Drosophila melanogaster: one gene and its partner. The protein of the gene in region 2 interacts with the protein of the main gene of each other region in a pairwise test. Each region holds a gene or a part of one and is shown on either strand. Other genes may lie near its edges.

Region 1 (14,294 bases), 3.3 Mb from region 2:
AATTATGGGGTTTTCTTGGCTACCAAAAATGTTTCGATGTTTTTTCTTCGCTTTACCTTCCTCTTCTTCACATATGATTGCTTCTACGTGCCGAAGACTCGCATTTTGGCATTTTGGATGCGATGGCAGATACGCAATTTCGTTGCGGAAATGCCGAATGTCAAGAGTGGTTGCATAACAGCTTCAAACACAGAAAGGCTAGGAATAATAAGGGTCTCATGACAGAGGGGTATTTTTTACACACAGTATTTATTGGTAACCAGATTCAAATTGAAAACATTCGCGCGCCTTTTTTGCACCCACTCGCGGTATCGATATATCGGTTTGCACACATCACTACTGTGCTAAGGTAAACAACATATAAAATATACATTATATCGAGGTTTGAAAATTCCTTTACTTATTTTGTTACACAATGAAGATTATTCAGTATTTATTTGATTTATTTTAAGTTCTACGTTATGATCTTTGTTCTACCAGTAATAAAATACATTTTACATCGTAATTACGGCAGAAGAACTTAGTACCTTTTCCAGCACTGCAGCCAGAGTTGGTTTCTTAATGGAGTCCGATAGGTTCAATAACACATCCATACATCGATAACAATTTTATTTTTTGTTTTGCTAATGTGATTTACAAAATAGTTGTTTTAATTGAGAATTGTCGGCAGATTATGGAGTTTGATTTGTAAATAGCATGATTTTGATGTAACTTCTGACATGGACACCGCCGGAGACATGGATCACCTGGCCAGTGTGTCCTTCGGCGACTTTGAGACAAAATCCCCAGAGGGCGACGTATCCTGCTATCAGAACTTTCGGGCACAGACGGAACATGTTTCGCTAGACATTTCTCTCGGGCAGAAGTCAGACACTCTATTTGCCGCCGACCAAACGCCCACGCCTACGCGACTCATCAAGAACTGCGACGAGGTGGGTCTCTTCGAGGACCTGCAGCACGTAAATCCATTTGACATTGGATTCCAGCAAGCAGCGGAGCGAAATGTCAGCGGCACTCCGAGTCGCCCAGAGGCTCGACCCAATGACGGTGAGTCCCTGCACACGCCCCAGGTGTATCCCGTCGAGGCCCCCACCGTGGTATCAGTTCCGTCTGAAAATCAGGTCCCACAAAGTGTCAGCTGCGGCGATATGGATGTGGACCAGCTTCTGGCCACGACAGTTACCTCGCCTTCCAAAGCCAGTCAAGATGGTCCGCCGCCGCTGCAGTTGATCCAGCCCCAGGTCCTAACATGGGTGCTGCCTGCGCAGTCAGTTCCCATTTCCATCGCTACAGTTGATTGTAACAGAAACAGGGTGAAGCCGACTGGTGCCATTCATCCCTTCATACTGCCGAAACCCACTGCGAAAGAATTAAACAAGACCAGTAAAAGACCCGAGCCTATTTTGGTCAGTTGCAACCCACCTAATAACGAGCCCAGTAGCGCCAGTCTGACGCCCACCTCACAGCTGCCCATCAAGGAGCGATTGAAGGCCATTATCCACAGCAATAATAACAGACGAAGTTTCTCCACACCGCCCAAGGCTGCGAAAGCAAAGGATCGCAGTCGGGACGAGGATTGTATGGAGCGACGAAGAGCAGCAGCCTCTCGTTACCGTAACAAGATGCGAAACGAGCATAAGGACCTCATCAAACAGAACGCCCAGCTGCAGCAGGAGAATCAAGAACTGCACGAAAGAATTTCCAGATTAGAAAAGGAACTGCAGCAGCACAGGAGTCACAGCAGCTTAGCTGGCGGTAAGCTTTAATAAACCATTCCTGAAGTTAAGTTAATTTATTTTCGTTTATAGTGGTGGCCGACCAGCTGCGGATTCCACCATCCAGTATACACTTGCTCATCAATGTGCCCAACGTGTTAGTGCCTTCGTCCGCCAGCAACGCAAGCGCGGCCAAGAAATAACCAATATGCCTTGTTTATTTATTTTCTAGTGCCATGTACATAATCCTAGCCTTGTAGTTTATTCGTACAAAAAAGCCTCAGTTAAGTTAAATTCCTTCTGTACTCCAATGTTTTGTCTGTGGTTATGATTTCCGTAAACTCTCTCTGTATCTCAAAAATGGAATTCTCGATATCCACCAGCTGGGGACTAAATTGCACAGATGATGTTGCTGGAGTTCGCAGCTGTTCCATGGTCATCTGTTCGGAAGAAAGTAGACTTAGGAGATCACAGAATACAATCTAAAATCTTTTATCACATACATCACGCAAGTTTTTCTGCAGCTGATCACGCTGATAGCAAAGTTTCTGGATTTTGTCGTAATACTTCTGTGCCAGTGGAGCACCCTCCGTATCCGAGTAGTAGCGCTGGGCAAGGAGCTCCATCTCCTGGTTACGAATTTCATCTTCGGCCAGCTGCATTTCTTGGTTGTGACGCCGACGCTCACGCTCAATACTGTGCATCAGCAGGTCCATGTCCTTCTCCATCTCCAGAATTTTGCGTCGCTGCTCAGACTCCTGTAACTTAGTGATGACCTCGCTCTTGCGCCGACGCACCTCCATTTGGTAGGTGAGCAGCATTTTCCGTTGGCAGGTGATGCGCTCTTCCTCGCGATGGATTGTGTCCTGGTAAACTCTCTCCATTTCTTTGAGGCGGCGAGCGTGCTCCTCTTGCTTAAGTCCTGTTTCAAGGCGTTCCATAATTTTAACCTCCTCCAACTCAAGATGGCGAATTCGGGCATCGATTTCCTGGTTGTGCTTGATCAACGATACTGCTTGATACTCCTGCTCATCGATCCACTCGCTGGGATATTTGAGAAACTTTGGATACACACCCTTCGGAATGGGGCTGAAGTGTGTCATGAAACGCTGTGGGTGAAGTGCAAGCGCACATTTGGACATTAGTTTGCGCGCCTTGGAAAGAAGTTTGCTGATGTCCACAGGGTTCTGATCGTGGAAGAAGAAGAGGACTGATCGCTTGTCTGGCAGCCGCAAGATTATCTCTCGATTAATCAAATTGTAGGCCACTACAAGAAAGACTGGAAACCAGGGTGGTTCCGAAAATATGTTGTCCCACAGCGATAGCCACTGCTCCTCTTCAAGGACCTCGGAAAAGGCAGTGCTCAGAAGGGGCCAGGCAAAATCTTTAGGCAACATCTCCTGGGATTTATAAAACTTGCAAAGCTGTTCGTCACAGTGCTGCAGGATATTTTCGCACATGGCCAGATAATTGGAGGGCGGCAGCGGATGAAATTCGAAACACAGCTGAAAATGATTCAATACAAGGGTAGCGATTAACTCAAAGCAAACCAGACTATTCTTGGGCATTCGCTTCACAAACGGAAAAATCAGGTGTGGCATAAAATCTGCGTGAGCTAAGACCTTGCACCATTGAGCAAGGCAACTCCAAATCTTAATCACAACACGGCGTTGGTGATCGTTGCGAATCTTAAGCTTCTTGGCCCGATTTCTGACCAGGAGAGGTGCCCCCAGTTTGATCAGTTCCTGGAATTGAGGCCCATTGCAGGGCAGGTCTAAGAGGGATGTCCAAATTAGGTACCTGTACTTTTCAGGATAGCAACCGTACTCCTTGAGCATGGTTTTTAGGCGCTGCGGATTGAGCAGATCTCGCAGTTCTTTGCTAACGCCTCCACCGACGCTGCAGGGCGGCAGAGGATTCGGTTGTTTGAAAGTGGACTTCACCTGGCTGAGGCAGCGGATCTGAGCTTGCAGGGCGTTAAAAATGCGGCACGTGGACCACACATTGACTTCTCCGCAGCGAGACGTTACACTCAACAGCTTGCCATCCCGACTCAGACTCAAACTTCGTGCATTGGAGCGCTGCACAATTAGCTTGTGATCCGTATTGGCTAAATCCAGCATGACCGCTTGGTTTCTGGTGGTGATTCCAAACACTATGCGCTCCTTTGGCTGCGAGAGGAAAGCCATTTGGTGGAGAGTAAAGTCCGTCAAGCGGTACATCTTTTCCAGATCAAAAGAGGCCACGCTCAGCAATAAAAGATAGCCATCCAAGGTACTAAGGCACATCTTGTTGCCGTCGGGGGTGAAGCAGTAGCTGAGTAGCATTCCATCGGCAAAGTCGTAGTGCTGGCAGTCAAACGTCAAGTCCTCCTCCAAGTCACTGTCATCCGGGCTTCGGAGAACTATTTCCGGTATAGATTCTGCGGCTGGTAGCAGTCTCAGTTTGCGATTCCTGGCCTTGATAGGCTGGCCCATCCGCAAAGTGCTCAATGAATGCGAGGACCACACATGCAGAGAATCGTTAGAAAACCCTATAAAGAACTGGTCCGAGTGGGGCAGGAAGGCAGCGAACTTCAGCGTGTAGCGCGACTGATCGAAATCCAGCTGATGGGAAACCTCCAGAGTATGGAGATTCACCAGAAGTGCATCGCTGCCGAAACGCATCAGAGCGATAGAGGAGCGTGCATTCTGCAGGCTATTGCTCCAACTCAATTCCTCAAGCGCTGCGCTTCCCACTTCTCCGTCGACCCCAAGAATTGAGTTGTCCACGTCTATGGTGAAAATGTGGCCCGTTTTATTGCCTACAATGTAGTCGCTACCGTGCAGAGGGGATGGCCGAATGAGCTTGGCCTTGGGCATCCGGAATCCCAGCCGCCAGTAGCGTTTGCGTACAAAGTCAAAGACGAAAACATTGCCACTGGGAAATAAAAAAGACTGTTTAAAAGAGTATTACGTTATTGTTTCCCCTGTCAACCTTACCGCTTGTCTATTACCACCAGCTTGTTGCTAAGTTCGTTGAAGCAGCAGGCGGCAATCTGGATGCGCAGTGCCTGACCTGCTTCCTTGATCGTGTGGTGAACGGTTAGGACGTTCCTGGAATTCGCAAACTTCGTTGGCAACAACTCCGCAATGTGCCTAGAGCGCATACTCACCCAGATTCGCTTTGCTTCAGCTTAAAAGGGTACTTGCGCATAGGAGCATTGCTCAAAAGCACACTGCGCGCTGCCTCAGGCTGCGTGAGCGACACATCAGAATCTCCCGTGTCTGAATCCTGATCTGTGAATAGCTCCAACTCCTCCTCCGTGAAGTCCTCCTCCACGTCAGTGTTGACATCTCTATCGTCCTGCATCGAGTTCTCGATGCCATGAAGGGCCACCGAAGGAATACCCGTGATCTGTTCCTTCTTGATTTCAGATTTTATAATCCTGTCCATGTTATGGGCTCAAATGAGGTGTAACTCCATTTGTCAAAGGACGTGTACTTTCGCCAATGAAAAAAGGAACGCCACACCGCTATTCATTTATCCAGCAAGGATATTTACAAATTTGTATATTTAACAACTGAATGCTTGTTCCTAGTTCCAGTGCAGCCAAATGAACACCATCCAGGCTATTTTTTTTCGACTATAAATATTTCCAGTTCAATTAAGTGAGTGAAAACTGAGAGCTAATCCCTCCTTGATACGCCAGTGGAGAGAATTACTGCTTATGGAATAGTGGTTTAGATATCGATATCGAACCAGCAAAAAGAACCGGAACCAGACAATGTCTACTACGTCAGTTTATTTTGTTTGCGTTTATCTGGATACATTTGATTATATGAGATTTGTTGATGACTGCGGATAAGCGAACAGCATGCGTGCTTACGGATAAATGGCCGTAACCCTAGGACCCAGTGCATCGGTGATATTCCTGCGCCGGTTACTAGCCTAGTGAGCTTGTGAACTACAAATCCCCTCTAGAACATGGATCCGTATGGCTCGTCATCGCGCATGGCGTACCAGAAGATGGTGCCGTAGTTAATAATGTTACTTATTATCGTCAGGATACTCGCCGTCCAGGTGATCTGTTAAGAATGACATCGCGTGTTTAACACTCTTAAAATCCCAATAGCTCCGTGTGTCCACTTACCACCAATGCGTGGGCTAGGACGATGGGCAGGGCGAAGGCACTCAGCACCATTCCCGCGGTAAGGAAGTGAGCAAACTCCGATTTCGGATTGGTCTCATTTCCAGGAGTTGTCCTCCTGGCAATGAAGACTGGAAGAACTGACAGCACGTAGAACAGCAAAACGAAGAAGGGATAGAAAATCTTTGTCGTGGGCACGGCGCAGGCCAGGATCAGGAAGGTAACACCAATGCATGTAAGAAAGGCGCAGATGAAGAGGCTGCACAAAGAGGGGAATCATTATCAGACGGTTGGCTGCAGGAGTGGGTGTAGTTGTAGACATACGCTGTGTGATGGTTTCAAAAGAGGCGTGTAGCGGGTTCCAGTTGGTGTTGATGTAGGCGAAGAATGTAAGCCATTAGATTTGCTAGAGACTGTTGTGCATAATTACCCTTTAAGGTGGCCATTGTATTTGTTTATAATTTTTCCTTTGTCGCTCCTAAAAATGACTCAGATGTGTAGTTCCAGATGAACCAGTTCATCAGTATGACCGAAACATGACCATTCAAAATTATTTAAACGTAATATACCGATTCTAGTATATACCGTTAAAAATAATTTATTAAATTCGATTTTAAATTCTTCCAGGTCTAATTAAATGTATTTTCAATTTATATGCTAATTTTCTCCGAACCTCCATGAAATGCTTTATTAAAGGACTTACCTTTGGTTTTTAAGTTTTTAAAAGCTTTTTTATTAAATGTCTTTTAAAAGTCCGTTTATCAACGACTAATCAATGAAAAGAAAGCAAGGAAAAGATGAGTATTCCCCGATAATCTGTTACGAAATCATTTCGCGTAAGAATCCGAGATCCACTTGGGGGTATTTCTCCCAACCGATTCGGACATCAGGACCAATGCTACACATACACTATTCGGCCTACCATAACTCCCGCAGTCCTTTGCCGGTGAGAAAAGCTCTTTGGCTGCCAATTCATTGATAAAAATTAAGCACGCCCTATCCCAAGCGAGGAAGCTGGAGGAAAGGGAGGGTTCTCCCAAAGCGGGCGTGGAGTTGGCTGACGGGGCTTCGGAATTCGTGAGTGGCAGCCACCTGCTAGCTGGCCGAGAGTCTCCTTGGCCTCGTCTCGGCTCTTTATGAATGCCCGTGTTTACTCAAAGAATAAAGGAACGGACGTGCCGAGCTTTTCAGCCCCACTGTGCGCATGCGCTGCTTTTGACTACTGTGCCCCTCTGGTTGTTGTTGTTGCTGCGCGGCCTGCCCTCAAAAGCTGCCCGCAACATTTAACAGCGCGGGGGCGAACCTAACATTTGCGTCACAGCTTCTGCTTCTTCTCGGGCTTTTTGCCGCCGCCAGGCTCATTCAGTTTCTTCAGTATAACGGTATACGTCGACAGCGGAGCAACGCAGCCCAGGAGTCGAGTCCCATCCGCATATATCCCCACAGCCATATGTCCATCTGAGCTTCTTCGCCAGCAATCTGTGAGAAAAGTGCACCATTTGACATTTTAACCACCCGGTAGAGTGCAGCATAACCTTTGCTAGGACACCTAATAACCCCCAAAAATCCTCGAGAAGTGCAGTTGGCGCAGGTTACTAGCCAGAAATATTGCACGCCCACGCGAAAGTGCAAAAGTTCGGGGAGCAACCACCAGCAGCTGCCAATTGGATATATTCGCAAGTGTGTGCGAGTGTGGGTGTTGAAAATCAATAACCCTCGTCGACGTCGTCGTTCTAGCCAAAGCCCCATTAACCGGCCATATGGCAGTGGTGGCAGAGGTCGTGCAGTGCTAGATAGTTCCCATTCGAAATTGATTTCTGAGGTCTCGAGAAATCCGCAAGTGGGAGTGCATTTGGTGGCAAGTGCAAGATGGCGGCTCGCCTGGAAATCACCGTTAGCTTGGCGCTCGCTGCAACGCTACTGTGCAGCATATTGGGTCATTGCGAAATGTCCGTTTACCCAGGTAAGCCTAAAAATAGCGCACTACACACCCATTCACCTATAAGCCCGTACACCCATGTACCCACACACGCAGCCTGAGTGTTCGGGCTTGAATGGCGCAGGAGGAGCGAAAGGAAAGGAAAGGAAAGCTGCCACCTCGATTTGTGTATCCCCTGCACTAGATACATGCATGGCGAGTCCTGCGAAGTGCTCCGAATCAAACCAAAACACCCACGCTCATTGCTTCGGCAAAACTAAAAAGTCAAGCCAACTGCAGCGTCGTAACTACATAAATACACATAAGTGGTAATAACGAAATTCTCCACTCGAAATTTACATTCATATGTATGCATTTGGTATAAATATATGTAATATGGATTAGCTACGATTTTCGTAGCATACATTTAAGCGCCTTAAAGCTTTTCCGTTCATCCCAACAGCTATAACAAATACTTCCTTGATACAAGCGCAACAATGGGCTGAACACGACGAAAACAACAAAGTGCGATGGAATTGCCACGCACGTCACAGACTTCGGTTCCCAGTCCTCCGACTGTATGTTGGTCTCCCTCACTCTGCGGGAATTGCTCGGGTTGACCTGGGCGCGTGTGTAATTGGTCTATTTTTAGCCTCTGGCAATAAAACGAACTTTTGTTTGTCTATTTCGAATCCTTTAAGGCTGTAGGAGGCAGACCACCGCATTTCGGCCATTCCATCTATTTCTATTTCTATTTCGACTTCGATTTCACTTTCTATTTTCCGATCCCTAACACGCAGCCCAGGCTCATTACCATTACCATAATCATCTGCCCGTGCCCACTAATCCGATGACATTGATACGATTCGAATCCGAATTCTTGCAGGATTGCGCCGCCGACCCATTCAGCCGCCTGTGATGGATCCGCAGAGTGAGCAAGAGTATGCTTTTCTGGCCCAGATGATGGAGCAGTATGCCCGCCGTCGGCTGCAGCAGCAGTTCGACCAACAGCTGCACGAAATCAACCTGAAGATGGATCGTCAGCGGCAGCTCTTGGAGCAGGAGCGGTACCGCCAGCGGCAGCAGGAGCTCCAGGTACAGCGCGAGGCGGAGGAGGACTACGAGTCCAACGGAAACAACCTGAACCAGCAGTACGACCAGTACGACAACGCGGAGGCAGAGGCCAGCTACGGCAGTCCGATGGAGGCAGTCTCTGATCTCCAAAGTCCTCCATTGTACCTGCCTCGCCTGCCCAACCTACCACCCTTGCCCAGCCTTCCGAATCGGCCCAGCCTGGGCAACTCCCCGAACAGGAACAGTGTGCTCCGCGAACGGATTCCCTTTGCTGTAGGTCCCAGCGACGCTCGCTTCTTTGACAACCCGAACGACCCTTCGGGGGAGCTGGATTCCCGGGCGCTGGAGGACTACGAGGAGTATGCTCCCATTGAGCCCACAACCGAAGTAGCCACCACCGCCAGTAAGACCAAGATCGATACGCCAGTACCGGCTCCCGTGCCCGTTGAGCCGCCCAAACTGCTTGACGCCGCCAACACCAACTTCCACCGCATCAATCCCCAGTCCGCCGCCGCCGCAGCCGTGGCGGGAGTGAATATTCCCCAGAGCAAAGAACAACCACCCCATGAACTTAACGCACTGATCAACAAGCTGCAAAAGCAAAGCAAAGCGCCCTCTCATTTGACGCTGGTCAACGGAGGTGATTCCAGTCAGGAGCAGATTGTGCTGCGCCAGCACCTGGGCATGAACAGCGAGATGGGGGTGTACATAGTGGCCCTAATAGCGGGGGTTAGTGCAGCGGTGACCGTTGGGCTTCTTGCCCTCGGAGTAACTTGGTAAGTAACCCAGAGAAGCTCCCAATGCCTGTTCCAGGAGCTAACCAATATATCTTGACAGGTTCCATAATCGACACAAGGCAGCAGCGGACGTGGAATACCCTGCCTACGGCGTTACCGGGCCGAACAAGGATGTCTCGCCGTCCGGTGACAGAAAGCTGGCCCAGAGCGCCCAAATGTACCACTACCAGCACCAGAAGCAGCAGATCATCGCCATGGAGAACCAGGCCACGGATGGTAGCTGCGGCATGTCGGACGTGGAGAGCGACGACGACAACGAGGAGGGCGACTACACGGTGTACGAGTGCCCCGGCCTGGCGCCCACTGGTGAGATGGAGGTGAAGAATCCGCTCTTCCTGGACGAGACGCCGGCCACGCCGTCAAACAACCTGTCGTCCCAAACCGCTGGAGCTGCCAATGCGGCAGCAGCGACCAATAACAACATCACGCAGGCTACCCCCCAGCAGCCGGCCACCCTGAAGAAGGGAACGGTCAAGCCGAACATAAATCTCCTGAACGCAACGGGCACTGCAGCAGCAGCAGCTTCAGCCGCATCAGCAGCCTCAGCGACCGGAGGGGAGGAGCCCAAGCAGAAGCGCAAGAGCAAGAAGTAAGGCGACTGGACATTGTTTTCCCTCTTGGGGCAATTGGTAAAGTTTGACTGATCCATTGTCAGCCAACAGACACATCCTCTTACACAGATTCAAAAACAGACCAGACTAGGTGCTGGGAGCCATCTACGCATATTACAGATACTTCAGGGAATTTAATTCCGGGAGCCAAGCAAACCACACACACGACACTACACACATCTGTCACTATTCTTCCTTCCCTATATATGCATAAGTCCGGTAATGTAATGTAATTGCTATGCAGTAAGAATAGCTCCAGTAAACCGTGAGTACCCCAAACCCGAACCCAATCCCAATCCCAATCTCATCCGCCCAGTTTCCACCCGCTGTCAGTTGCACAACGCTGATGATTCTATTACGATGCGGCAAGCGTAATCCTGTGTTGCATGGCAGCGTGGGTTATTGTATATCAACTTTTTTTGTCACTGCGAATCGTTGGATTTACGGTCTGGAGAAGCTGAGGAGCTTAGGAGGAGGGACAACCAACCGAAGCAAACTAACATATTATATTATTATAAATATATGTATACATACACACATATTTATATATAGATATATATTCATGTAATTATTGTATTATATACACGAAGGCGGACACCTTTTTACTTACCTGTCTGTGTGGTGTACTATCTTCTCTCATTTTTACTACGCTTTGTGATCGATCCTAAATTATCTGTGTCAATTTAGAAATACAATTCCGGCATCCAAACTTTTTGCATGCGCATGCAAATATATTTCGTAGAGCAGGAGACGCGACTAGAGGAGGAGAGGATTATTTACAAGTAAAACTTAACAATAATTTCCCTGCACATTCATGTAAAGTAAATGAAAAACGACTGATAACACACAAAAAGAACACGCGTCTATTGTACAAAAAAGAGAAATCGATACGAAGAAACAATTTATTTACCTATTAGTGAGAGATTATTAATGGAAACTATCAGCGGAAACAATTCCCAGCCCCAAAAACTACTAAAGGAAACTGTAGCGAACATTTTACTGTATTGCTGTAAATAATCATGAAACATTGGGCAAAGGACAGAGTTAGAAACCATTGCGGCCGAAACAATACACTGAATACAACCGAATTGAAGAACTTGCGAGTTCAAAAACTAGCTAAAGAAAACACAACACGAATATTATATTTCTATTAACTAGGCGAATGCAAAGCATCTTGGAGCATTGAACATTGAATTTGAATTCCAAATCGAAACTGACTTAGCCACAATAAAATGCGCATAGCATATGAATGTACGTTGAGCGTAATGTTGAGTTTGAAATATATATTTTATGGTGTTTGGCCAAAAACACGAAAATAATTAGAACTCAAGGCGAGGACTCGAAATGCAAAATTGCAACTTGAAAGCGGAGGTGCAAAGAACACACTTTGTAAATGAAGAGCATAATTTAATTTATATTTATTCATGTATGATAACCGTAAAACACACAAATTATACAATATGCATACAGAATAAACTAAACTAACCAAAATCCCGCGTCTTCTTCTTTTTAATCAACACGTATCTGGACCTAACTTCCCGGGGATTTCCCTTCTGGACGTGTCCTTTGGAAAGATAAAAGAGGAAAGCTTAAAGATCGCTGTAAGGTGCTTGCACCGATTGAGAAGGCTCAATGCAACCGTTTTTATAGATGATGCATCCTATGGCCTGCGAAAATATTTAAGTTGTGCATTTTATTGTTTGATTATAGTAAATGACTTTTTAAAAAGTAACGTTAAATACCATTTCCAATGATTGGTATTTCTACAAACTGAAATGGTATATAACGCCATTTTCTGCCAGGTCCGAAGGAATTCTTATCGTTTGTAGCACGGTCACACTGCTCAGTTATTTCAATTGTTTGTCCCGTTTGCTCGAGCACTTGTTCCCAACGTAAGTCTAAAAAGACTTATTTTCCGAGATAATAAATCGCCGTGGCTGCGCATTATGTAAAGTGGAGTGGTTCCGTGCCGATTTCGCTGCGTTGGGGCCGTTCCAAACATATGGAATCTAAACGCAGCGTATTTCACTCCTGCTCGTGTGTGTCTGTGTGTGTTTATGGTTGTAGTGGGGCTTCCGTGTCGCAAGTGGAAAACAAATGAAATTGAGTTCTCGCTTTGAGTCATATTCGAGTGACAAATAAAGCGCGTCATGCGTTGTCCATTGAATTACAGTTTAATTTGATTACAGTTTAATTTGGTACCGCCAAGACATGTACGTCCAACCACCGATCGATCTGTGAGGGCCTCAAATATAGACATGGTGTACCCGCACAGGAATGAAGATGCGGGAGCATCTCTGGCGTGTTTGTGTGCTAATTAATTAATTGCTCATACTTGACCTGGACACTAAGCAGACGCTGTTGAAATCGACAATACATATAACACTTTGTGCTCGCGTAGATGAAATGGGCGAAAATAGTGCGTGCTTGGTTCAAGTTACGTGAGCCCCTCGCTTCGTGTGTGTTGGTAGGGAGCATTCAATGCGCGCGAGTGTGTGTGAGCAGCGGTGTGGGGATGGGCACCTCCTCTTTGCTTGTACCTAGGTGGAATAGTTTGGTACCCGTGACTTTCCCAGGAAAAGAGCATTTTATAAAGTTTCCCTATTCTTTTGTTTTGTAAATTACTGTGAACATTGGGTGATTTATTCAAAGTTGATTCAAAATAAATTACTAAGTACTAAGGAAACTTACAGAATAAAATATTTCTGAAACATCTCCTCGCGTTCGGAAATGTAGGAAGCATGACTCAATTTGTATTCGTGAAATCATGAACCCACAATGCAGTACCCGAGGTTCAAAGAACTAGTACCCTCCACAGCAGTGTTTAAGCAGGGTTTCTCTCAGTAGCGCAGTTCATTTGGCTTAATTTCTCTTTATTTACACTCGGTTCGCACAGATCAGGTTTTGTTCGCTGCTCGACGGGGCAGCTGCATTCTTTCTCGCTCCCACCCTGCCCCTGGATTCCCCTGCACCTGTTCGTTCTCGAGGTGCGAGCGAGAGGCCAAGAGGCAGAGGTAGAGCGGCACTTGCCACGCTTGACTTGCAGCAGGTCTGCAGGCGACGCGGAAATGCCACTAGAAGGTCCAGCTACAGCCGCCGATAGACACCAGTTCCAGTCCCGATAAGGAAGCGATAGACTGAAGTAGACAGCTAGCTGGAAAGACAGATAGCGACGGGGAGAGTGGATTTATTTATTATTCAAATTCTGAATGGAATGACGATGTGATGGGCTCGTGCTCGTGTACGCGGCGACACTTTTTGCTGTCAATATGCTTCCTGCAAGTGGTGAGTAGACCGCGATCCGAATGATTACAATTCGAAATCTACAGCCGTTCCCCATAGATAACGATTATCGAGCGCCAGGTATTCGACTTCCTCGGCTACATGTGGGCGCCTATCCTAGTGAACTTTTTCCACATTTTGTTCATCATATTCGGGTTTTACGGCGCCTACCACTTTCGCGTTAAATACATCATCACCGTAAGTGCCCTGATTACCATATCTCTGCGATAACCCCATTTTATTTTGTGTGCCCGCCTGCAGTATCTAATATGGAACTTCCTGTGGATCGGGTGGAATACCTTCCTCATTTGCTTCTACTTAAATGTGGGGCAGTTGAACAGGGTGAGTTTCGTGGCTCCACAATAGACATATCTCTTCTTAACTAGAAGGAAATCTCTTCACAGGACAGTGACCTGCTCAACCTGGGCACTGGCAGCGTCTCCTGGTTCGAGGCGAATGGGTACGGTTGCAAGCCCACCTATAACATGGCCGCGGACGATACGTTCCGTCCCCAGCGGCCGGAGCGCGTGGAAGGCTGCCTGCTGGACTACCCGCTGGTGGAGATCACCCACTCGGGGGTACAGTGCGCTCTGGCGGTGAGTGATCTACTAGCTTAAGTTCCCTGAATTGTGTAAATTGTCTCGCCCACTCCCACAGCTGCTCGGCATACTCGGTGCGATTCTGATTAGTTGCATATTTCTTGACGAGGACGACAGATGTAAGTGGCGCTCTCTGAATGCGAATAAGAAACATGCTCGCCTGTCATAA
Region 2 (18,359 bases):
AGAAATGCAAAAACCAAGCCAACAGACTTGCAAGCACGGCCAAAGAAGACCATATCATTGCATCATCTGCATCAGATTCTGCATGGGATTCGGCATTTCGTGTGCTGAATGCAGGATAATGACTTGTTGCATTGCCAAGCTGAGCGGTTTGGCAGCTGCCAAGGCTCTTATCCTGGCGAACGGCAAATAAGAAGTCTTAGTTACACCCATCAATGTTCCGAATTCAAGTCAAACAAGTAATCAAATTTAGACTATTTGGATGGCTCTTCAGTCACTGGATGATGTGCTTCATCTTTGTCATTTGCTGGTCTAAGTTCGGCATTCCGTATGTATGTATAGAGAGCCAGGGCACAGCGCCATCTACTTGCAGAACCCACTCAATTTCTGCAAAGTTGCAAAAGCAATTACTTTTCGTTACAATTTTTGTGCTTCGTAAACATTTAATTTCCAATTTTAATTTGCTCCAATGCATTGCCACACACACACAGAGGCGAGGGGACGAGGACGAAGGACGAGGCGGCTGAAGAAAGGAGCAGGAGGCAGAACCAATCGTCATTGGGGACTGCTAGCTGAGGTCCTGCTGCACCAAAGGATATGCCCTGCACTCCGCTCCGCCGCCCGGACTCATATGGCTTGGGCTCCGTTTCTCATTTACATTAAATAAATATTGTACAATTGTATTGAGCATCTGGCAAAGGTGAGTCCCAGTCCGATGAAATGAGCTCTGACTCCGGTTCCGGTGGTAACTTCATCTTACGAACTGCCCTCGCCCTCGCCACCGCCCACATGCCACTCGTGTAAATATTCCCAGAAAATAAAAGAATTTCATCTGACATTTCATTGCTGGTTCGATTTATGGAAAATGCATGTTGCACATGCTTCGCTCTGCTTGCAACTTGCACTGCACTTTGGCAGCATCGAAAATAGCCGAAATATTCAGATCTATATCCCTTCGACACATACAAAACCAAATATCAATTTCAATTGGACACCTGGCAGAGCGGTAGTTTACTCACAGACATGTAAGACAGTCCTTGCAGACTCACTCACTCAATTATGTTGTCCTTCAAGTACTCTATGAGTTATTAATTGTGAGATGAATATATCCTACACTCGGTGCCGAAATCATGTATTGTTCAAATATTTTTCCTTGTGTGCCTCTAAGCCGCCGCTCAGTCCTGATTGAAGTTCACTTTTTCCGCACCACTAGAGATTTGTCTTTTGGAAACATACAGTTTTTCCTGGCATTTTCTTTAAATTCCATTTTTTTTGCCATGTTTTTGCAGTTGTCCTCGCACACAAGTAGACACGCACTAACACATACGATATCCTTTTTAATGGCTCAGTGGAGTCCTGATCCAATGACTTGTGATGTGCAAATGTTATCCTGTCTCCCAGGCTGTCTCTATCCGTCCGTCCATCCGTCTGTCTCCGCTCTGCATGTGTGTTTATAATTTACTTTGCTTTCTGACAAAAGGATTTTAAAACAATTATTTTAATGTTTTTCCCACACACACACACACATATATATATATATATACATATTTATATACAGGCAAGCAGGTACAGAGAAACAGACATTACGTCGAATTGAGTTGGTTTCATTGGGAAAATGTTAAAATGTCGAAATGACTTTTGTCAATTTTTGGCTTTTAAATGCAATTTTTCTCTTCATTTAACATTGGCTCTGTCACATATAATTCGGGCCAAATCGAAAACTTTATTTAATCAAACACAAGCACAAATGCAAATCCAACAAAAGTGCAATGTAAATAAATACAAAAAACAGGCTGCATTCGATTCGTGTTGCCTGTTTTTGCATCCACTTGCGGTATTATATTTCGCAAAATTATCCACAGTTATGTAAATGCCATTTTTCTACAATTATTTATCGAAGCGTTAAACAAAATACACAAATTAGATTATGATCCAAGTCAAAGGGGTCATTGCAAATGGCGAAAATTCGCAACTCAATTGAATTTCGACTCAACTAAATACCAAATGAAATGATTTTAAATTACAGCTTTAACAATGCGCTACAATGATAAATGACTCTGGTGATTATGGTGATTATGGAGAATGAAGGCTCCTTCGCTGTAATCGCAATCGCACAAACAAATCCCTAAGTAATTCCGCAGAATGGGCAAACACTTGCAGCGGTTTCCAGTTTCGAACCCTATCAAGATGGCAGCGGATGGCACAAAAGTAAGCAAGTCATTAACATATCGCGCCAATGAAAATGCAAATGCAACACAAATTTTCCAGCCAGCCAGGATAACTGGCTCTTGCTCCTGCTCCCTGGCAGGACTTGGCCCGCCTGGATGACCGCTTGTCCGGTGGCTCATTAAAATGCGCTGCCATCTTGCGAAAGTGAAAAATTGCCCGGCCAAAGAAAAAGTTGAAAGAATTGGAGGGAGAAGTCGTGGCAAGCGGAATAGGTGAGAGGAAAAAATGGAAAAGAAAAACTTAGTTGAGCTCAAAACGAATATGGAATACCCTAAAATCTTGGCTTTATCACAACGAAATACAAATATTTCCACGCAAGTTTACTTACCTTAAACTTATAATAAGTATAAGGAAATACATTTTTATTTGGTATTAGCAGTTAAATTTTATAGTTAGTGGTAATACCTTCTTCCCAAGAACTACTTACCCCGAGCAAGGATATTTGGAGAAGCACAAGCGAAACGGAAACAAGGGAACCGAAAAAATCCTTAGCGGCTATTGCAGTCGTCCTGCGCGAAATGTAGGAAAACGAACCTGGCAAGGTGCTCCACTTAACTGCGAGCTGCTTGTTGTGGCAATTGTAGTGGTACATTTACGCATTGTTAGCACATCGTAAAACAAATCTCATGAATATTACACAGATTTGTCTGCCGCTGCCCGCTGTTTAATGCATTTCCAGGATGAGGAGTGGTCATGTTCTTTCCTTGGCTGCGGGTTATTGCCAGAACGGAATCCTCAATGCCGTAGTTCAGTTTAGCCGGAAAGGAGAAGTAGATGGTGGTGGAGAGGGTGAAAGCTGGGAAGGATGCCCTCCCCCCCCTCCTGCCATCCTGTCCTGTCCGACGAGCGGTGCAGTCATGTGCAGGAATTAATTTTGCGATTACGCGTAATTACAGCCCGGAAAAAAGTCAACAAAGAAGGACGCGGCGCTGGCAGGAGTAAAACTTAATTGCGAGTAAGTGTTGCTTAATACTTATTATCTGCACTCGCGCCTCCGCCCCTTTTGGGGGCGTGGTGTGCGGAAGGCGCGGAGGGGGAGGGGGGGCGTGTCAGCGGCATTGCCGAAACTTAATTGTTAGCTTGCCGAAACTTTTCGACGCGATATTTAACCCTTTACTTTTTGTTGCTAATTAAAAAACTTTTGACGGATAAAGAGGCGCACAAAAAATGAAAAAGGAGATGGGCGGAAAGCGAAAATGCGACATAGATATATGTACATCTATATATATATATATATATATTTGTACGTATGGCTACGCGTCGGTTGTTTACACAAAAGCAATCATACGCCACGTTGCCCCGCCCAGTTAGCCCGCGCAGCACTGTCGTCACTGTCAACAATACGACATCAAGGCGGATATCCAGGCATTCGGTACTCTGACTGCTGACGTTTCGTTGAAGTTTCATTAATTAGATAAAACTTTCTGCCATTTCCCCCACCGTACATTGTTAATGACGCCAGCGAACGAGCTGCAAATTATTTGCACACAACAAAAGTCAAAAAGTTGAGCGACTCGGAGCTGGCGATGTTTGAAAAGAAGTCAGTCAGCCATGATATGATGATATGCCATAAGGCCAAGAAGGGGATCATTTTTGGGCAAAGCAAAGGAAAACTTCGCCCACCTGCGGCATTTTCCTTTTTATTTCGCCAATAATGAGAAAAGTCCAGAAAATTAGGTTTCAATTAAAACGGAGGCAAAAGGGTGCACAAGCCAAATCAGTCCGAATAGAGCAAATAACCGAAAATAAAAAAGAAACCAACCCGTTTGCCGTATTCAGTGAGCTAATCAAGGAGCTAGGTGGTGAGCAAAGAAAAACCGGAAACGCCGTGCCAATCAAATTAAAAAAAAAAAAAAAAAGGACCACATCAAGTAACCCCGGGATGGGATGCGAATGGGAAAAGATGTAAGACATGGATGAGTTCCTGGGAATCCTGCGGAAGATGAATTTTTAATTTGTTGCTGTTGCTTCCCGTTTTAATTGTTGTTGACAGACTGAGTGACTGGCTGACAGCGTAATTTACAATCCTTTCGCCCCATGCCAGCTTAGAAACTCCGCCCGAGCCACGCGAGTGATGGAAATTTTAATTAAAGAAATTGCGGCTAATCCCGTTACAAAAAATGAAGATTCCGCCCCAGGGGCCAGCACTTCACTGTGGCTGCAACATAACCAAAAAAAAAAAGAAATTTCCAGCTAATTGTGCGGGAATTTCAACGGGGGTAATACATATAACCCCTTCTATCCATCAACAATCTACCCATGTACGCATGAATATGGCATTTGTATATCTTGCATACATCAAAAGGTGGAACGACATCTCCGGGAAAAATCCTTGCCTCTCCGGCTTATGGAAACATTTCCAATTTCACTTTCACTTTACTCGCTTTTAATGGTATTATCCACAAAGGGGGCTTGTTGTTCAGGTGGCAGGGGGTGTGTTGTGGTTACCCACCACCCGACTCCCTTGTATTTGTCAAAGGATTTTGAGTAATTTCATTTTATGCCATTTGCACATAAATTTGCATCAAAATTTCAAATTCGTAAGATGGTCGAGGTACCACAATGGAGCACTGTCATAAAGTGCCACTTAAAAGTTAGGTCCCATGACTAAGCACATCTAAAACTATTTACCTATAAGTTAGTATCTATAAGAAATATAAGAGTCACATTTTTATAATCTTAATGACTTCTTTAAATTATGTCTGCTTTTACTTACCAGATTAAGTAATATCATTAGTTGTGCATTTGTTTTATTTGCAATTAATGTTCTACTTTTGAAACATACTTTTCGAAATCACTGTTTGTGTGTGGTTAAGGAAAATGTGATGTCGTGTTGACATTGTGCGGACCATAAAACCGGGCTTACCTAACCCAAATATTTGGCAGCAAACAACGCAGAGCTTAACCTGTTGATCCTGGCCAAAAACGAGTTTAAATACGTGCCAAAAAAAAAATGAGCTAACAAAATAATTGAAATTTATGGCCAACAGCTGCTCTCTCAAAGCAGCTTCCATCACAATGGAATGGCCATTATTTCAGTTATATTAAATGACGGAGTATTTGGACGCCACAGCGTCAGCTGAATGTTCAACCCCTCATACATTTTATTGCGATGAAGGAAAGATTCTCAGCGCATAAGAAATTAACTTAAAAAGTCATTTTGCCGGCAAAGGATGAGCTGCGAGCCAGGGGAAAAAAGGATTAATTGCATGAGGAGCTCCACCGAAGCACCCCCCCGCCCCTCGACGACCACACGAAGTGCACGCGGCCGTGAAGTGCATATCCTGGATTTTCCATAAGCCATTGACTTGCCACATCCTTTTGGCCAGGCCCAGGATCCAGGATACATCCAACCAGCCAGGCAACCAACCAGCCAGCCATCCAGTCAGCTCGGCATGTGTGTGCTCTGGCGGATCCGTATTTTTTAATAGTGTTCCGTGTGCCTCTTGGCGTTAATTTATGCCACAAAATCATTTTCTTTTATACTCTCCACACTACCAGCCACATGTGAAAATAAAAATTAAAAAAGTGCAAAATATAAAAAGGCAAAGGACGAAGGAGCGGAGTGCGGCGGAGTGGCATGGAGATGCAAATTGCGTTGCACTGGCCGCAGGATATGAGACGCAAACGCCAACGCAGTTTTATGTCAAGTGAAAAATAAGTGCGAACTATGACATGAAATATGAGCGTATCTGAATCTGAGCCTTATCCCCCCACCCCCCCGTAATCCCACCGACGCCCCAACGCCCACTAAAATGCTGCACACAAAATTTTATTAGTTTCTCTGTGTGGCGCAAATGCGACACAAATAAAAGAAAATAAATCGGGATTAGCTCGCAAAAATGAAATCGAAAACGTAAACAATTGCAAAGAGTGAAAAAAAGCTAAAAAAAAAAACGAAAAAAAAGCGAAAAAACAAAAACACATAAATAATTTATTATATGCCGTGCCGCCCGGTGATGATGAGCCGCCCTGATAAGCCGTACATGAAAAAAAAAAAAACAAAAGTACCTACAAAATATTACGCCAAACTCGACTCGGCAGCGATCGGATCGCATCGGCTTGGGTTTTTTGGATTCGGATTCGGATTGGGATTGGGTTTTTGGATTGGAATTGGGTTCGAGTTCGGGTTCGGGTTCAATTGGCAGCGATTTCTCGGACCTACTGCACAACTTATGCAATCTAAGACGCAGTACGGCGCTTTGATATGCGCTGATTTACTCAATTGTGCCGCATATGAATGTGTGCGAGTATGTATATGGCATGGCACATAGTACACATAGTCCGGCCGGAATGCACACGCCTTGATTCCGCTCCATATGCTGATATAGATCGCGAATAGTGTCCGGACAAGGCCGATGGTTTCACTGTCACTGGCATTGGCTGGTTAAGTGCCATGACAATGAATTCGATGCAGCGAGAGTGATGCAATGCACTCAGTGCAAGGTCAGGATAGGTCCGTGGCATGTGCCATCTTCATTCATTCAAAGATACAATGTGGAAAGGTAGCTTGCCTTACTTGCTTCACCCTATTCCTCTCAATAGGCTAATACACAAGTATCTGAGCGATGTTTCTGGAACTTCGGTTAATAGTTTTCAACTTCATGCAACAGAGATTCGTTTAAGAGCAGGGAATATGCAATTATACCATCAGAATTCGATTTCAATGGTTCATTAATCATGCGCCATTTTAAAAACCACTCATAAAGTGTTCCTATACTAATTAAGTCTTATTTCATTCACGTTTTCTGCCACTTACATTCCACTACGCCCCATCGATATAGACACATGTTGGCGCCTCAATGCCGCCCTGCATACGAATTCATTCAACTCAAGAGCGCTGGCCAAATCAAATCGAACTAAACTTAAGTGACCCCGTCGAGTGGCCGACCGCCCAACTATAAATAACCGGGTGGAATAAGCGTCCAAACATTAGCAATGAAATCATGCAAACCGAAAGATACAGATACAAACAGATATCGGGTAGTACAGAAAAGCAAGGCATGCGCGGCACATGGATGTGGATGGTATATGTTCGCGATGCGTGGCAAGGTCGTTTCGTTTATTTCGGTTGAGAACTGTTTGGAAAATATTCCAAACTGTATTTATAGAAGGCGGTCCAAGGATCGAACTGATTTTCGTGTTTTGAACTTGACATTGAATGTTGGCGGAGCGATAAGCTGTTGTTTTCAATTGCCATCTTCATCTTGTGATTCACACTGGCCCATCATCTCTGGAATTAGTTTGTCGATGATGCGGCTATTATTGTTTTCATTCCCAATCCCGATTCGGGGCACTTCGATCACCCAACTGTACTTGGGGCACGTGACGGCCGAGCTCCGCCAGATGATAAGGGTTTCAGAACTGGGGGCCGTCAGCTGATCATACCCGTATGCATATACTTACATAATCCTCAGATACGTGACCGTTCGAGTGAGTAGAGATTTGTTTTGGAAAATATTTACAATGCATTTATTGGAAGCAGTCAAATATTTCACATTGTGGGTAGATTTGGGGCTCTTAAGATGTCATACAAAATTATTCGTACAATATAATTAATATACATATAGTTAAATAAATACATGTTTATGTACGGTGTGTGTGTGTGTGTATGTGTACAGAGGAATGACACAACCAAATTAGTTTCAATCCGCTCAGCACTCAATTTTGTCAAATCAATTTAATGTTAGTGTTGTCTAATATTTTTCGAATATTCTAGAAGTCTCGAATATAAACTTTAGGTATTCAAGAATTGTCACTCTGACTTGCCCAACTTGGAGGCTATTTTGTTATCATTTGACGATGCTGTTCCTCTGCACGGGTATGTGTATGGTGTGGTTAAGTATAACTAAATCAGGACGCAGCAGACTTGGCCATTCTTGCAATCCGAACCGGGTCGCAGGAGCCTCTGGTGGCATCGGTCCATGCACTGTCCCAGGTGTTCCGCACAGGGCGCTGGTCTGACCGGCACTGCAACGGCAATGGGATGACGTTTGACGTTTTCGAGGGCGATGGGACACACAGAATGGATCGGGTTGTCAAGGGTTAGTGGCGATATTCGGGTAATTCGGTAACGATGCCAATTTGATTGTGGTTAGATTTTTAGCGATGCGAAGCAGGTGTTGGGTTTGATCGGACTGATGGGGTTTTTTAGGATTTTTGGGGATATTTTGGGGATTGTTTGGGGTTTTTGCAGGTTTTAAGCAGGATGGTACACACAGCAGAGAGCCAGCAATCTACTCACGTTCGTAGCAGCACTCCACGCCCTCTCCGGCACTCGTGGGACACAATCCCTTGTTCGAGGTGGGTTCGATGCAGTCCGACTCCGCGACACACAGTCCTCCGACCATGACGCACTGTCGGTCATTGGGATACACACGCACACCCTGCAGCACTGCGATTTGAATGGGTTAAGTGGTAGTTCGCTATGGCCGCCTGATCCACATCGCACACTTACTGTAGTAACTGGGGTCATTCACATCGTTTGTCTCGATGTTGGCCTGAGCCTGGTGCAGCACTAGGATGCTGCTCACCAGCAGGCAGCACAGCAAGCTCCTTCTCGGCGACATATTCGGCTATTTGGGGATATTCGGCTGTACTACCGGGCGTATGCGTGATACGTTTTGAATTTCGTTCTGATTCGCTCTGCTTTCAATGCACTTCACTCTGGCAGCTTGGCAGCAGCAGTAATCCACTTCCTCTCGATGGCGCGGTTTGCGTTGAACTGATCCCAGCTAATTACGCCACAGAGGCTTTTCAACGAAAAATTACTTTGCCGACGGAGACGGGAGAGCAACAGCGCGAGAGGGAGAAAGAGCGAGCGTTTTTGCACAACTAGACGCGGAGAAAGAGAAAGAGACGGAGCGAGCGGAAGATTGGGACGTAGAGTGTGAAAGGGCGGGGGCGACGGGAGGAAGTCGAGGAAGTGCCGTTCAATTGAAGACCGTGAGAGAGTTTAGAAAATTGACCAACTCCGATCGGCTTCGGCTTCATCCGCTTCAATCAGCAACGCTCTTGAGTGCACACGGAGAAAACCAGAGCGCGTTGTTACGATTATTGTTGTTATTAGCTTGTACTTATCAGTGGTTAATATTTAACATCTATAAACGCGTTTCTACACTGGAAAAAAAATAGTAATGTAAAGATTATTCGTTTTACAGCAGCGGTGATATGCATATGAAACAGAATGCATAATGATGATTTAGTATAGAGAGCTCTTCTGTTATGACTAGCACCGTTGACCCTTTTATCGAATGCTTTTTACCATTAGCTTTTAAAGATAGTTACAGCTTTGAAATTTCTCGCGGTGCACTGGAGATCGCCCAATGAATGGACCCACAATCAAGCGCTCAACTCGGGCGACCAATCAACGGGGCAATCAACGACCATCGGCGCGGAGCAGGCGAAAGAACAAGAACCGCATTGAGCGGGGCGTAACGTGATTTTACTGCAATCCGATCTGGTTTGGCACAAACATCTAGCTATCATCTTGCTCTGCCAGCGCTCAGTTCTTGTCGGCGGTGTTTGTGTAATTTTCGAAAACAATTTGTGTGAAATATGTGCGTGGAAAGTAAACAAACGCCGAAGAATCGAAATATTACGCATACGCGGTGTGCTGGCTGTGCCCCAGAAACAACAACAGGTCTGTTTTGGGCCAGATGTTACCTTCGCTCGATCTAAACAACGGCGGCTGGAAAGAAATTGAAATTCACTGGAATCGATCAATGAATGAACCGAACGCCTGACCCTGAGCATCCAAATGGCAATGGGAGGGGGAAGTGCCTTATTTATGTTTGCTTAACTTGCCCCATTATTTGGCCAGCGCAGTGTTCAAACAAACAGTGTTTTCTCTTGGATAAACGCACGGCGAGCACTTCAACTCCAGATCACCTGATACTGAATGAAGGGGGTTCAGTTTCAGGCCTTGTCAATCCCAATCCGTTCGCATCAAGTGTAAGTTAACATCAGAACGAAAAAGCTTCCCCCGAACGCTTATCAGTACTCAGTTTTGAATTCGTTTCCGCAGAAAGCTTTCACCCGAGCGAAACTAAATGGTTTTGGTCTACGGAATCTGTTTGCTCGAAAGCTTTTGCCAAGCAAGTTGCCAGATAACTTGCCCCCAACTTTGAATATTCCCCATAAGCCCCTGATTAACTGGAAAGCCGAGTTCTTGGTAAACATTTAGCAAACATCCCGTTGGATGAATCATTTACGATATGGCTATGATTTATTAAAGTTAATTACTTAATCATCTAGTTTCAGTTGAACTGGCATTTGAATGCATATGCGCACACAGATATCTTTCATTGTCAGTCTTTTTGTGGGGATCTTACGACATCTAATACTTGGCCCTTTGCCATAAACAGCAAATATCACAGAGTCGGAATAGTAAGGCCGGATCCAGGGATCCACCGTCGGCTTATCGGTTGCTTAGTCAGCGGACTTCTGCAGTTCATTGACGATGATCACATCGCAGGTGACTGCGGCTGGCAATGGGTTGGAAGTTGGGGGCGGCGTACCCGACGGTGGTGCACCCAATTCACCGGCCTTGTTGCTGAACGGTATCACAAACACGCTCGTCTTGGCCGCGTGCTGCATCTTGATCACCGTATCGTAGCTGGGAGGCGCAAATTCGCTGTAGGATGGCGAGGGCGTGGGTGGTGCCCTCAGACCCTCGGTGGATTGACCTCCGGCGGGACGACGCCTCATGTCGCGGCATCTGCGATCCGAACAGGCCATCAGCATGAAGAAGGCGGCCAGGGCCAGGAAAGTGGCCACATACCACACAATCGTGATCACATCCATTGCCGTCTGGGACAGATCGTTGGGCGACTCGACGACAGCTGAAAGTGTTAGGTATTAATTAGTTTTGATCGTGACTACTATAGGGCTTATATCGCAGCCAAAGCATAGACAAATCTCCCCAGTCTAATTGAAATATAAGGTCCAGACTCTATATGGAAATAACTAGAATTGCTAGAATTTCATCCCAGCAGCAAGTTATCAGTTGGTGCTGTTGTGCTTCTAGTCACGAATTGTGGGTCTGTGCTATAAACTTTATGACGAAACTGCTCGACTGCAATACTTGCGCGTCATCGAACTACGCTAATGGCTTAAATGAGCCCCATTGATAGGGGCTAACCCTAGTGGCGGGTATATAGTAATTAGACGGGAATCGTTGTTGATTGCCGGTTTCAAGGGTCCACTGAAATTAAGATATTACCGGTGGGCGAGCGTTACAAGGGTTACAAATGTTTATGGCAGTTGAAATGGCCTGTTCAATCGATCTCGTTTATTTTCACTTTGTATGGTACTCAAGTCAATTCTACTACCAAAGTAATCAGTGACGTTTTGTAGCAAATCTTATCGATATAAATCAATTTAATTTATTCTTTAACATTAATAAGACTCTAAAAATAAGTGGCTGAGTGGCTGACAGCCTAAGTGAAATAGAAATGATTGAACGATTTACTCAAAGTATCTTTTTCTATCTAGCACAAAAATCTTAGTCTGATGCCTCATGCACATTTAGTATTGCATCCTTCAGATACTCACTGTTCTTGTAGACAATAATCCGCGTGTTGTTTGAGATGGTGTCGGGAAACAATTCCACCTCGGTGGTTCCGTTGGCGTTTGTCAAGTTGTAGGGCAGTGGGCGGGCGGACTCGTGGAGAACGTTCTCCACGCTGAAGAGATAGGACTGGCCGTCTACGCAGCACGAGCTGGCGATGATTACTGAAAGGAAACAAAACGGCCACGCCGAACCAAACCAAACCGCACCGAAACGAATCGAATCGAATTGAATCGGAATGAGGCGGAAGGGAGGGGAACGGAGCGAAGCAGACAAGCTGTATTAGCGATATTATGGTATCAGGAAATCAAGACAGAGCGGTGAGCTCACTGATAGCTTATCATCGCCACTCTGGGGCGTGCGAACGAATGGATCTTCCTCCAGGTGGGAGTGATCAAGTCAAACATCTTCATCGGCGACTGATAAGGAATCTAAATATAACCAGTGCCAGCAGGGTGTTCCCCCCCGTAAATGGATCGCTAAATAATCTCAGCCAATCGGGCGACTAGGTTTACGGCCAAAGCCACTTAACGATAAGGCCCTCAATGACGACCCGGTGTCTGAGGCGGCTTTTGGGTATATCTCCAGCCCTGATACGACTGGAGAAGATCTCTAGTCACTGCGGCTAGTGGGGTAGGTGTTAGTTCGTCCACAATGGTCGGGCATTATCTTCCTGGTTGCGGTTTGCAAAATATTTTGACGCACCCATCACAAACACAAACACCATAAAAGCCAGTTAAGCTGCCGCCAATAAAACATGGCTATCTCATTTAAAGCCCATTCGATGAGTTGGCAACCAAGTTTGCACACTTCTTTGGCGGCGGCCATATTTCACCATCGAAGGTGCGTTCCCTCTTGGATCGGGATGGATGGCTGGAGACGCACACGGCACACCATCTTTATTTTGAGACCAAGTATCTTTACAACGCCTGTCAATTGCGTGTAATTACCTGATTGCGCGCCCATCACTTCGCTATCAATTTCACCACCTAGCTGATGAAATTTCGGTCGTACGAAATCGTTGACCTAAGTTGGAAATGTGACGACGAGTCTCGATGAGAGCGACAGCTGGTCAATTCCATGAGAAATTTTTGTAGCGCCAGTCCAGAGGAAAGTTGCGCAACTGACTATGAGATAATTCATACGCCCCGTTGTCTAGCCAAAAAAATGTAATTGCTTCATAGATACGAAAGGAAGGTGAATGAATTGCAGTACCAACTCATCGCCACAAATCGCTTGATCTTCTTTTATTAGTAGGAAACTCCGTTCTGGAAAAAATTAGCTGAATGGAATCGTTGTGCTAATTTCTGACAACATTTGGATTCATCTAGAGTCTAGATTCTAGACCAAATGGTCATGTGAAAGCACAGATGTGGAATCTTTCTGCTAGTCGAAAACAAATATTTTCCACGCTGATAAGACCGAAAGGCATCTTCGGAGCTAACTGAATGTGTAACCAGGTAATTAGGAGCAGACCTGGACAACCCTGCTCCACTTCTGCACGCACTACAAACTAGATTAAAGCACTTGATATGTGGCCGCTAAAAATAACTGCCAAAGCTAATGTTTGACTGCGGGTTATTCTTGGGGTTGAGTTTTCAGTCAACAGTGGATAATTGGCGGGTAGATCGGGTGGGTTCGCTTATTTATAGAGTGTCGAGTTCGTGGTGATAAGGTGGCGGTAAAGGAACGCATGCAAACACCATTGGAACGCCAAACAAAGCGAACCCAATGGAAGTGGAAAAACAAGCGGACACAACAAAATATAAGCAATTAAATTCTAATTAGCCACTAATGGCAAAACGTGCTGAAGTCAACGTCAGCAATTCCACTTCACTACTGCGTTGGCACCTGTGCAAACGGAGCATGGGCCATTGGACATGGTATATGGGATATATATTGTTTGGCCCGCATGCCATGTGCTCGCTTGGCTAATGTATCGGAGCTGCAGATAGGCGAACTCCAAGCGCCTTGAACCCGCTTTCTGCTCAAGAAATCGAATTTCGGGAATTTCCGTGAGTGTTTGCCATTATGCCCGAGTTGGGTGGCTTAGTTGAGAGTAGAGTATAGCGCTTTCCTCATAATAACGTCATTTATCATTAGCATTTGGGGCTTGCCAGTGACTTTGGTTTAACCGGTTTTCATAACTTGCGGGAAAATTGCAAGTCGAGTAACCGCAGCCTCACCCCCTTTAAAAGTCCCACTTTAGTGAAATGTCAACGGAACGAGGGGCTTTTACTTTGATTCGCTTGGATGATATTTACGGGGCGATCACATGTCGGTTAATGCCGGCTATCACAACTTATCTAACGGGCTTAGCAGATGACGGTATCGTAAAGACATCGTTAACTGGTTTACGACTACGACGTCTGGATGGAGGACCAAGATGATATGGTCTTGACGCCAGAAGTTCCTCAAACAGACGCCACAGGCTATAATGGTAATTGCGTGTGATAATACAAGCTTAATAGCTATTAAGAAAATTGTTCTATGGTTTGTGGAAGCACAGTTGCTCTTAGGAAACTATATCTTTCGTACTGAAACTAATAAACAGCTGCTCAATCAAGTCTCGATTGTGTTTGTTTGTAGGGGCAATCAATTAATCATAATAGAACGTTTAATAATATTTATGAGGCTTTAATGCCAGGCAAACCGTCACCATTTACGCCAAGAATGAATTAAGCAATCAGCGGTGATATTTCCTGTTTTTTTTTTTTTATTTTAAGCATAGCTTAGAACGACTAGTTCTATGGGATAATTGGCCGTATTATAAAGAATAACTTTCCTACACAAAACGCGATTTCACAGACCCATTCAAACATTGCCTCCTATTGAGCATTATCGGTATACATATATAGGTACCTGCAATCAGCCAGAGTTTGTGGAAGTTCACGTTCGCATAATTAGCATATGCTTGTTTGGAGACTTGCTTGTTATAACGATATATACATAGGTATAGTAGCCAGAGAAGGCCTGTCCCAGACTCACCACCTATCATAATGGGCCACATTGTATGGATCCGGCTGTGTGGCATGGTGCTGTTGCTGCTACTGCTCAGGTAACTCGGAATGTTGTTTGTTTTTAATTCACACACTTGTCGGCTTGAATTGCAATCAATGAATTTCCATAAATCGTTCACTTCACTGAGAACTGCACCGGGCAATTGGAAACGGAGGCGGGCTGGGACTTGACTTGGACTTGGACTTGATTTGGATGCGGATGCGGACTGACCGCCGTATCGAATCGATCTTTCAGCTTCAACTGTGTGTCGCAGACTGAGCGCGTCGCTCGCCATGTCTACAGCTTTTAGCCGGAGCTGCTCTTGCTGCTGGTGGTTCCATCGCTGCCAGCGTCTTTGTGTGGCCCCCGTGCGTATGAGTCACGCGCTCTCCGCCGGGCGAGAAAGTGTAGTAGTGATTCCAGCGATTGGCGGAACTGGTTAGAGCAACGTATATAATTGCTGGCCAAAACATCAAACAATGCGTTCTGAAGGCGGAGGTGCTACCACCGTTGCCACCGCCAAGCCCATGAATGATTGGAACGTGGTTCCGTTCGGGTTCTCCGACTACGATTGTTTCATACAAACCCCCTAAAAAGAACCAAAGTTTAATTTTATAATGATTTTATTTTATTATTTTATATATACTATTTCGGCTAGTAACCACGCGGATAGAAAGCATGAGTGCATAAGTGAGAATTGAATTTTAAAATTAATATATCATATGTATATCCAAAGTTACTAAATATTTATCTTGCTATTCGAAAATAATCTTCTTGCTGCGCAGTTTATGCAAAATATCATTGTGAACTGTAAAATTATCAATGTTAAAGAAGTGACAATGTGTCGCAGATAAGGAAAATGTGATAAGAAAAGTTAATAAATTATAATCAATGTTGGTTGTTTATGCCCTTTGTGTGTAGGTCTTACATGCGCGCTTAAATTAACAAATGTTGCCTTTTCACCTTTAAGAACATCACGAATATCGGTTAAGGTAAGAGCCACACCTCAATTTGCAGATCCTTAGTTACCTTGGTTATTTTTAAAGCTTAAGTTGGCTTTAAAAAAACTGCGAAAGTGGCCCAAAGAACTCTCTGCTCTGCTTAGGGTTATTTTTGGGCGTGAACTCACACCTACACGCCCCTCTGCGAGGTGCTAATACGCTGTGTGAATTTCGTGATCCGACCAAGTGGAGTCGTCAGAAGAAGATGGAGTGAAATTTCTAGGATCCCCCAGTGGTCTGAGATTCGGGTGATGGATGGTGGAGCGGTCAAACTCCTTATCAGGGTGCTTGACACAAATTAAGGCCAATCTATGAGCGACGGAGTGATTTGAGTTCGACCCTGAACTTGATGAATAGATCGAGCGATCGATCAATCGATCGAGCTGCTCGGCTCGGCTCTTTTGTGTGCGTGTTATAATTGGCACCTGGGCGTTATATATAGAGATGTATCCATGGAGCAGCTACCGGTTGCCAAGAGAGCTGCACATTCGCTAATTGAATGGCATACTGCGACTCCAAGGCAATTGGACAATTGTGGGCCGACATTGAACGGGGGCACAGATTGGTCAGCAAATTGTCTCGCAGCTACGATGGCAATAACCAGTTTGGTCAATTGTGACGAGTCAACGACCAGGCGACCCCAGCACGTGCCACATCCAACGCGATCCATCCACGACATGGTTGGTAACAAAGTAAAATCTAATTCAGAACAGTAAGCGGACCAGCATTGATTAGCCCACGATATGACGCAGTGGCAGTAACGCAGTTCCTCTAGTCGTGACCAAACGCCGATTGCTGGGCAGATGAGTTGGTGATGCGGGGGATCGGATTGCCGGTTCGACAGGTTATTGGATAAGGCACGTGCTGATTCACGATGTGTGTCACCATGTGATGAAACCGACACCCTGCAACTGGGGAGGCTAAGCGAAGAGTGAGGTAATTCCCAGCCGCACTTTCGCCACGCTCTGCTGAGATTTAGTTGGTTTATTTATCAGTTAATATACGTATTTGAGTGAGTTGCGTGTGTATACATATGAGTTAATTGGCTTAAGACCTACTGACCACTAGCCCGAACTTTCAGTTACATTGCAGTTACATGTGTGGAGTAAATACTGTAGTTCGTACATTATCTTGTGAGCGTATGCGCCTACATCTTATACTCGAAATTGAACAATTGACACTTTCGGCCAGCACACAACAATGACATCTACAAGCGCGTGGTATTCTATGCGTACAAATACATAACATATACATATCTATGCAGTACAGAAACAGGTACAACTATGTGGAATGCTCGGCCCAGTCTTGGCTGGCCCTTGGAATATTTACGCTAGCTAATATAGAGACTAGTACTGTGTGGCTTTCGCTTTTGCTTATAAATAATTGATGCTTAGGTAAATAATTGATATAATTTCATTGAGTATGGTAATACCAGTGAGATTTCATCAGTGAGTAAACAATTTGCATTCGCCAAAAGGGCGCTTTTAACAATTACAATACAGTTAATCAAATAATACGGAGAGTGGAACAATATAAAACTTATATATATGTACAACAGTAAAACTGTGGAAATTCTCGGGGAGTGTATTCTGGAATTTGGTTCAAAGTGAACACATCGAGAAAGATGTTTGATCGCTAATGCTAATCTCAAAACATAAAATCAGTCCTAACATATTTACATGGATTGCTGAACGGTTCAGATAGAGATACAATTACCTAATAGGACTAATACAACAAGTGTGCGATACCAAGTACTTGCTGATCTGGCACAAAGCGGAGCGACACCCGTCGCGGATCTTTATCTTTCCGGGAACAGGGACTCATAGCTGGGCGGTAGATCCTTTGGCGTGGCGGGTTGCTGTTGCTGCTGGGTATCGTGCTCGTGCAGGACGCTATCATCGTAGTGCACCGATGGTGGCAGCTCAATGGTGGGCACATCCGACTGGAAATGTGATTGGTCATTTGTTGCCCATGCAGACTTGGCTCTGAAGTAAGCTAGCTATACTCACTCTGACTCGACGCTGATTGAAGCGGGCAGCGGAGGCTTCGTGCGCCCGTTGCTGCACCGTTATGCAGTTCCAATACTTCCAGCAGATCCACACACAAAAACCCACGCCCACCATGGTAAAGATGAGCGAGGTCAGCGCCGATATAGCCACATTGGCCGTATCGATCTCCGGCACAATGGCGTCGTGAAAGCAGGTGCCCTCGTCGCGGCACGGATACAGGCAATTGGTGATATTGTCCCGCACAAAATGACGCGAAATGCACGAGTACTGGTCGTTGGGCTCGCAAAGGAAGTCTCCATTAAACTGGCACTCCGAGTGTGCCGTTAGCACCATGCGCAGCTCCAGGGGATCGCCTAGTATATGACGCGATCGATCGATAAATATGTGCACGTTGACGTCGCGATCACGCTGATCGAAGATCAGACGTCCCGCCGGGCCATCAATGGAGATGTCCGTGCAAATGCGTTCGCTGGGCGAGCGATTGCCGCTGCTGAACTGAATGTAGTCGATGCACTCCTTGGAAACGGGGTCGCGCCGAAACTTAAGCCGCGT

What was found.
Region 1: the proteins of CG15673 (region 2) and CG30423 interact in a two-hybrid assay, tested with the Drosophila melanogaster proteins (one large-scale study listed by BioGRID).

Annotation. Positions count from the first base shown.
Region 1 is NT_033778.4:24,869,491-24,883,784, forward strand, and holds CG30423 (uncharacterized protein), read right to left. Parts: upstream 6,376-14,294; 5' UTR 6,291-6,375; coding exon 6,275-6,290; intron 6,170-6,274; coding exon 6,169-6,169; intron 6,104-6,168; coding exon 5,848-6,103; intron 5,783-5,847; coding exon 5,675-5,782; 3' UTR 5,486-5,674; downstream 1-5,485. Other genes in the region: Atf-2 (activating transcription factor-2), read left to right, coding at 720-1,755, 1,809-1,918; CG16896 (uncharacterized protein), read right to left, coding at 2,000-2,155, 2,219-4,634, 4,697-4,810, 4,870-5,150; CG44247 (uncharacterized protein), read left to right, coding at 7,714-7,807, 8,649-9,612, 9,674-10,226; NKAIN (Na,K-ATPase interacting), read left to right, coding at 13,470-13,529, 13,587-13,724, 13,788-13,868, 13,931-14,122, 14,184-14,244.
Region 2 is NT_033778.4:21,597,998-21,616,356, forward strand, and holds CG15673 (uncharacterized protein), read right to left. Parts: upstream 15,075-18,359; 5' UTR 14,808-15,074; coding exon 14,786-14,807; intron 11,962-14,785; coding exon 11,782-11,961; intron 11,070-11,781; coding exon 10,657-11,069; 3' UTR 10,396-10,656; downstream 1-10,395. Other genes in the region: CG10433 (uncharacterized protein), read right to left, coding at 8,075-8,196, 8,471-8,620, 8,684-8,795; CG18870 (uncharacterized protein), read right to left, coding at 17,597-17,740, 17,808-18,359.